Linked DNA regions of Rattus norvegicus. The protein of the gene in region 1 binds, or shares a complex with, the protein of each later gene. Links are inferred from orthologs where the notes say so. Each region holds a gene or a part of one and is shown on either strand. Other genes may lie near its edges. The genes, in order: Anks6 and Anks3.

Region 1 (3,809 bases):
TCACAGGCCCTTGATGTTTCCTGCAAAGTCACTTAGTATCTCTGACTGTGACCACAGGATGGTTCTAGGTCCTGACGGCCTGCAAAGTCGCATGCCCTTGTCTGCCCTGTCTCTCCAACTCTGGGATTGCTAGTGCTGGAAGAAGGCTAGCGTAGAGACCCAAAAGCGTGGTGTGGGCCCTTGATCCCTGAGACAGACTTCTAAGAATCAGCACAGACTCCACAGTGAAGGGAGGCGGGCTCCGGTGCCCGGGGGAGGAAGGGTATGGAGGCTGACTCACCAGGATCATTCAGCAGCATTACCAGGTCGAAGGCCGTGTATCCGTTTTTGGCTCGAAGAGTAACATCAGCCCCTTGATTTAGCAGATACTTTACAATTTCTTTATTTCTGGGGAGCAAAGAGGCACGCAGTTAGACTCCTTACTCTCATGTGGGGATTGATCACCCTACAGCCCATATGCAAAGGCTTGGTCACAGGAAGGCGCTGTGGGCTATCAGAGGGGGGCCTTACAGAGGTCGCTGTGTATGTGCCCTCAGGGCGGGTTAGGGGCCTCTGGCTCTGCCTCCTGGATTAAGCACTTTCTTAGACACTTGCCCTCTGCCCATGCCGTGGATACTTTCCCCAGAGGTTGGAAGCCTCAGGACTGCTCTATCTCGAATAGCAACCTGCAGAACCATGAGCCAAACTAAACCTTTTCTTTATAAATTAACCGCCTTGGGCATTTTGTTAAGAGTGACAGAAAACTGGCTAATCCAGCAAGTGACAGGGAAAAGTGTGGCTATGTTCCCGGACAACAAGGCTGCCAACATTAACCGGGGCACACAGCCTTCCAGTGTTTAAGTGGGACGTGGCCCATCACACCCTGTCACTCAGCAGGTCAGGGGCGAATGTGCTTCCCATCAGTCCTACTGTTCCTCCCTAATGACAATACAATCCCAGAGCAAAGCGCTCAGCCACCACACCTACCTGTCCACAGAACTTTCTGGCAGGGTCAAGGATCTGAGGCTCATCGGATAAGAGAACCGATACAGGAGTGTGACATGGTTGGCTGAACCAGGCAAGGGGAGACCCAGAGGGGCCTGCAGAAGTGACAGCCCACTTAGCTGGGATGATCACATTACTTTAAAGGGGAAGGTCAAGATGACCGCCAGTGTGAGCTCATGAAAGCCCAGGTATTTGTGGCCACTGCTCAGATCATGGAAGGGATGCTTAATGGAGGTCTCTGATCCATCATGTGAAAATGCCAAATGACCAATCATGGTTAAGCTGGAAACAAACGGGAAATTAATCTTTCTGCCTAACGTGCACCCGCTGTATGGGTTTATACAGCCAGGGCAGGGTGGCGTGTGCCCTGGATAAGACAGAGGCTGGCCGAATGGAGCCCACGTTCATTCTATCTTTTTGCAGGCCTCAATGTCCTCACAGCCCTGGGCTGGCTACAGGTGGCATCCTGGGTCAGAACACCCCAGGCCCCAGCCAGAGCACTTGCTTGGCCTCATGCGGAAGGGGGTGGGAGACACAGACCCATGGTAGGTGGCCTGCATGAGGGCCGTCCAGCCATGCACGCTGTCCTGCTTGTTCATGTCTGCATGCTTCTCTACCAGCAGCTGTACCAGGGGCAACTGTCCCGTGACAGCAGCCAGCATCAGTGGGGTCGCCCCGTCCCCGTTGACCAGGTTCACGTGGTTGGGGTCTTCGTCAGCAATCTCCTTGACCAGCTGGAAGTTTCCTGCAAACGGCAGGAGTCCAGGTGATGCACAGCCCCTGGCACCACAAGATCATTTATTCAGTTGTCTCTCGTGATGAACAATGGCTCACTCTGCCTCTGCTATGGTCACGGGGCCAGTAAGGTGGGTCAGAAGGAGCCCTACTCAGATCCCTCTACCTATGACAGATGGATGAACAAACACAGGTGCTATCTGTGTCTCAGAGAGTAGGGAGAGTGAGGAAGGGCCACAGGACTGAAGAGAGAAAATAAGGGTCTAGATGGTGAACGGGAATCCAGGAGGGCTGCCCGAAGGTGGTGTCTGCATCAAGAGGAAATCCTGGAGCTTGGGAGATGTATGGGTAAAAGTGCTACCCATGAAAGCTTTAGGACTTGAGTTTGAATCTCCAGATCCCACATGAAAGACAGACATGGCATGTAGTGTAGGTGTCTATAATCTGAGCGTTCCTACAGGTGGGTAGGAGACAGGAGAATAAATACCAGCAGCTTGCTGGCCTGGCTCTGGGTGGACGGTAAGAAAAGAAGGTGAGCAATGGTGAACCTGACCTCTGACCTCCGCATGATGGAGTGCCACACAAGTGCCTCTTCCTCCCCCTCCCCACCCCCCCACACACATGCACGCACACAGGCAGGTGGAAACTCTGGGCTAAAGAGTCTTTCAGTCATAACAAAACTGGGGCTCGCAGAAAGAGCCAGGTACATCTAGCTGGTGGGATGGTAGGGACTGGGAGAGTGCTCTAGAGCCTGTGCACAGAACACTAATAAATTACAGGCCTCCGGGGCCCACCCTCCCCGGTGAGAGTAAATTATAACATCACAGAAGTTAAAAAAATATTTTTAAATAAAAGCGAACAACAAAACCACATTTCTTTATCGGATTCCTTGTGCCGGTGGTGAATCGGTGAGACAGGCAGGCTGGAGGGAGGGTGGGGCTTGGGCTCGGCAACATCCAGAAGCTCTCTGAAGCACTTACCCATCTTCAGGGCGTGGAAAATATCAGGTCGCCTCTTCTCCTCATCTGGGTAAACAGAGATTTCCAGAATCAACCAAGGAGAAGTTTTAACAGAACTCTAAAGCCACAGGGGGTCAGAGCGCAGGCTAGCTTTAAAAATCATGGGGCAGAAGCTGGGAGCAGGGGACTATGTGACAGCCCTCCTGGGTAGCTGTCACCTCAGACTTCTGCAAACATTGTGGGGTGTATTTACCTAGGTTAATCAAAAGTATGGCCTTGGAAAAAGTTCACTCTATAAAAATTTGAAAAAGAAACTTCTAAAATCTAACTACAATGAGCTAAGTATGAGGTCAGAGAACCCTGTGACACTGAACCACTGAGCTCTGGAAGTAATGACTGTGGCCCCCAGAAAAGCCAACGACATCTGTCCTTTCCTTCCAGACACTAAGGACTTGAGTGGGGTGCCCTACCAGTCTGTGGACTACTGTCTAGCCAACCGTCCATCAGACATGTTCACACTGGCTCTGACCCTTGACCTGGTGCTGTGACTCCACGCCCACCAGTGCACGCCCCTCCCTCCCTCCACAGGCTCATACCACACTTGGCCCAGCAGCTGCCCACAATCAGACCTTCCCTAAAGCCAGTCAGCATGCTGGGCTTCACGGGCAGGACTCCTGCACCTTCCTGAACGCCATGAGGGACACCTCTGGCTCTGGGCTGCCTGGGAGGAGCAGTGAGTGACCTCCATGTGAGCTAGCATGCATGTTTCTAGACAGGCTGTCCCATTAACATCAGCATCTGTGCCACGGAGTTGTCCCAAGGAGCAGCAGGTGGCGTAGGAAGGAGGTGCTTCAGAAAGATGGAGCCTATAGAGTACCACTGTGCTAACTGGCCCAGCAGCCACCCCAGCCAAGCTGCATGGAGTAACTCCGTGACTCTCAATATCAAGAACAGCAGGGCCACAGAACAACAGGGCTAATTTTGCCTGTGAAATATCATGACACCACACTGTAGTCACCCAAAAAGCACCTCTGGGGGCTGGAGAGGTTAAGCAGTTGAGCACTGGTTACTTTCCCAGAGGACCCAGAGGTACACAAGGACCCACATGGTAACATGGTGCAGGGGATCTGG
Region 2 (4,444 bases), on another chromosome or scaffold:
GCTGGGAGAGCCTTTAGTGGAGCATTTGTCTCCATGTAAGAAGAACACGAGTCCAATCCCCAGCATTGAGAAAAGGAATGAGATGGCTCAGCAGTTACGATGTCCTCGTAACTACTCTTGTAGAGGATCGGAATACAGCCCTAAACCACAATTACTTGTAACTTCAACCTCAGGGAGAGCCGATGTCTCTGGTGTCCACTGGTACCTGCGCTAGACTACACATATACATACCCACCTTCACACACATACATATAATTACAATAAAACTAATAAAATCAAAAATAATTTTTAGAAGTTAGATCCATTATACGATTCTGTTTGTCATCATTCAAATGAGTCCCTATAATCCAGTTCCTGGCTCAGCTCCACCCTTTGTATCTTACCCTAAAAAAAAAGATGCTCAGCCTTCAGGGTTTCGAAAGAGGGACTTTAGGATTAGGGGGTGAGGGCCTAGCGAACCAGGCAGATCAGCTAACGGTGTCGAACCGGAGCAGCATCAGGGGAGTGTGTGGGGGCTTAAGGTCTTTGAATATTGTTTTTTTTTTTCTTTTTCTTTCTTTTTTTCGGAGCTGGGGACCGAACCCAGGGCCTTGCGCTTGTTAGGCAAGTGCTCTACCGCTGAGCTAAATCCCCAACCCCGGTCTTTGAATATTGTAAAAAGGACGTGTGCTTGGCGGTCCTGAATTGGGAACCATAGGTGAAGACGCTTTTGGTATACGCAAAGGATGCTTCATAACAGGGGCTTTGGCAGTACGGTACAGAATCACCAAAGTGAAGGGGGCCGCCCAAGACTGGTCGTCCTTTAGGTGTGCAAGACCTTGAGGTTGAGGGAAGGTCTGACTCGCAGGGGGAAGAGCATGAAGGAGCTGAGAAGACCGAGGGGCTCAGTGTTTCTCCTCAAAGCCAGTTGGTCTCGCCTCGCTCTGCCCCGCCCCGCCCCGCGCCGCGCCACGCCAGGCGTCGTTGTCAAGGGGACTGGAAGGCAGCGGGACAAGCCGGCCTGTGTTAGAGCAAAGGGGAGGGTCGACTCCCTGCCACCCGCAGCTGGGACCAACACATGGTCGCATAGGTTTCCGCGGTCTCCTACTCGCCTCGTCCGCTCCGCTCGTCCACTTGCCCTGAGCCCGGGCTAAGCACAGCTACCCAGCGCAGCCCGACAACCCGCCTCCTCGCCTCTTCCTCGCCCGGCACGGCCCGCCTCTCTGTCTCAGGATTGGCTCCTGAGCAATGAGCGGTATCTGCCATCTCATTGGCTGCTATGGGATGTCAATAACAGAACGCCCGTCGCCTTCCCGGGGTGCTCTGCGCTGCCCGACAATTACTTCCGGGGTGGGCCGGGCGCAGGGCTGTTGGCCGGTGAGGGAGCGTGCAGCTGCTGCTGGAGGGTGGCGCGGGAACCTGAGGCCTTGCAGGTAGGCCGGGCCGCGGCGGGGCCCTCTGAGAGGCGGGGCCCGAGGCGCCCCGCGGCCGCCTTGACGGTCAACCCTGGCGCTTGCCTGTCACAGGGTCTGGGGACGCGGGCCCGGCTCCGTGTTGCTAAACTGAGGTACCTGCCAGACTATACAGTCACACGGGAGCCAGCGGTCGTGCACGGTCGTCGGGACCGCTATAGGGCCGGAACCGCGTCTCACATTTGGGCTACAGGGGCTCCCTCGAGGCCTTCACGAACCTCTTGAAGGAGTGACAGTTGCCTCCAGAATAGATTTTTTTTTTTTAAACGAAGACTTAAAAAATTTAAGAGTAACGTCAGTGCTGTTACTGAAATTCTGGAAGCGAGGTGCAGAAGACATACAAACCTTTATTTTACTCGAATCGATTTTTTGGGTATTGGTTTTTTTGAGATTGTGGGCGTGTCTCGCTGGGTAGACCAGGCTGGCCTCGAACTCAGTGAGGTCTGCCACCAAGTGCCGAGATTAAAGGCCTGAGCCACTACGCTAGTGGGCTGTATGTTTTTTGAGTAAGCATCTCATGTATTCCAGGTTGTCCTTGAACTCAAAAGTGGTCCTATTTTCTCAACCCCCACCCCCACCCCCAAGAGCGGAATTACAGGTGTGAGCCCTTCCAGGGTTCTGCTTATCTGCTAAAATTGCACCTTTAGGCCAGCATGTGTCCACTATTGGTTCAGACTCGGTTTCACCAGTGAGGTTAGGTACTACTTGAGTTCAGGCGTTGCAACATGAGAAGCTAGTGCTTCCAGAATGCAGGCCTTGATTTTCACCTCACCAGCCTACACACATCACTCACCATGAGGCTTGCAAGCTGCTCCCCAGATTAGTGATTTGTACGTTGTCCTTTTTATAATTCAATTTTTAAAATATGTCCTTGCAAGCTGTGTATATATGATATTTATCACTAAGATAGCTCCTCAACCAGAAAGACAGATCTTTCTACCCCCCCCCCCCCTTTTTGGCACTCACCAACACAGAATAATGCTAGAGTGTTTAAAAGCAGGGAATTAGTACTTTCTGGGTACACACTTCCTTCAGGCTTCCTCTGGGTTCCTCTTGAGTATGGATATTATGGTGCTCTGTGTCCTTGAGGCCACTGCTGCAGTGGTCTTGACCCCCCTAACCCCCACCCCTGATGGGACCCAGGTAGGCTCAGTGCCAAAGCCCAGGTCTTCCCATCCTTCTATTCTGCTCTTGACTCTGATAGATCAGATTAGGGTCAGTTACAACCTCAGAGTAATAACCTTACCAGAGCACTGTGATTCAGTCCTGGAGGGGTTCAGCCACTTAAAGTAGTTTGAGGTCACTGAGGTGGCCCCATGGATGCGTAGTACCAGTGACCAGTGACTGAGTATAGAGGCAGATGCCTTCAATCTCAGCAAAGACTATCTATGAGACCAAGTCCAGCCTGGTTTATAACTTGAGTTCTAAGTTATCCAGGGATACACAGTAGGACCTTTTCTCAAAACAAAACAGTGGCCATTGCACATGTGAAAGTTGAATGTGAAACTAAGGCCCTACTCACAGTAAACTGCCATTATCTCTTCTCTCTCCCCCTTCCCCCCCAACACTTTGCCTTGCTAGGGCTTGGACTCAGGACTCAAGGTCTTATGCAGTAGGGCACCTGACATCTCCCATCTCTTCCTGTTCTGTACTAGCTTCCTGTGCTCCTAGACGTAAGAGTCTGCTAGAAGATAAATGGCTAGTCTTTGGTTTGAGTAGGCTTACCCAGAATAAAGCACTCCTAACCATACACTTGCCCTCCTTGTGGTCATCTTTCCTACTTAAAAGGGTTGTGTGGGTGGGTTCCTGCTCAGGTAGCATTTGCTGAACATCAGGATTGCCTTCTGCAGTCTACTAGGGTTTTCTTTTCCCCTGCCCTACTTGTCCTCCCCCCACCCCACCCCCTTTTTTTTTTTTTTTTGAGGCAAGTTCTGTCTGCCCAGGCTGTTTTTTTGTTATTTTTGGTTTTTACTTCTCTGAGGGTTTCACTATTGTAGTCCTAGTTATCCTGGAACTCAGTCCTGTTTCCATCTCCCCAAGTACCATAATTAAGTCGCATCACCACATATAGCCTTCCATGTGGTTTGTGGAGATGCAAATGCATGACATTCCTGACCTTTATGTGTGTGTGATCCCCTGGAGGCAGCTGTGAATTGCCTCATATGGATGCTGGGAATTAAACTCGGGTCCCCTGTAAGAGCAGTACGTGCTCTTAACTGCGAAGCCATCTCTCCTGCCTTGGTTTGTTTTAAGAAGACTTGAAATTCTGTGTATGCATGTATCTTGGGGGTAGTATGTGCACACACGAATGCAGATCCAGGAAGCCAGAAAGGAGTATTGGATCCGCTGGAGCTGTAGTTACAGGAGGTTGTAAGCCACTGGACATAGTAAGTGCAAGGAACTGAACTTGGGTCCTCGGTAAGACCAACCCCTGAGCCACCTTTCTGGTCTTACTTACTCTTGCGTTTATTCAGAGACGATCTCTGTGTAGGTAGACTGGCCTAAACTTGTTGTATAGTCCAGGCTGTCCTTAAATTCATAGTCTCCCTGCCTTTCTTCTACCTTCCCAGTGCTGGGATTACAGAGGTATGCCACCACACACAGCTTCCGTGCATTTTAGCAACAACCTTTTATACACACATGTCCATAAGTGAGGAATTAGGAACTGGAGAAGCTAGACACAGAGCTCAATTTTGCCGCCCACCCAAATTCAGCAAATAGTGCTAAATAACCCAACTTGCACTGTTTTGCTACCAGTGAAAAGGCCATCAGACTCCTGGAGAATCTGATGCAGACAGAGCCTGTGGTATGGAGCAGGTATGCAGCAACACAGTTAATGGCTCCATAGGTGTTTCTGTCCTCTGGCTGGCCTCAAACTGCCAGCAGCTGTGTGATGTTAGGAGGAGGCTAAGTCAGCCTTAGTGGCTTCAGTTCTTAGGAATCTGAGGTGATAGCCTGCTGTTGGTAGGAGTTTTTCATCTTTGGAACAGCCA

The links.
Region 2: the proteins of Anks6 (region 1) and Anks3 are in contact, whole or in part, in a crystal structure (PDB 4NL9), measured with the Homo sapiens proteins. The link is inferred for Rattus norvegicus from reciprocal best matches to the Homo sapiens genes ANKS6 and ANKS3. Residues at the interface, in NP_775822.3 of Homo sapiens: Glu796, Gln797, Glu798, Val799, Asp800, Glu802, Ala803, Thr806, Leu807, Asp811, Glu814, Leu815; in NP_597707.1 of Homo sapiens: Lys441, Tyr442, Thr470, Leu471, Phe472, Gly473, Pro474, Arg476, Lys477, Arg484.

The regions. Positions count from the first base shown.
Region 1 is NC_086023.1:66,132,628-66,136,436, forward strand, and holds part of Anks6 (ankyrin repeat and SAM domain-containing protein 6), read right to left. Parts: intron 2,745-3,809; coding exon 2,700-2,744; intron 1,730-2,699; coding exon 1,525-1,729; intron 388-1,524; coding exon 281-387; intron 1-280.
Region 2 is NC_086028.1:11,120,216-11,124,659, forward strand, and holds the start of Anks3 (ankyrin repeat and SAM domain-containing protein 3), read left to right. Parts: upstream 1-1,345; 5' UTR 1,346-1,412; intron 1,413-4,444. UniProt on the Homo sapiens protein: May be involved in vasopressin signaling in the kidney.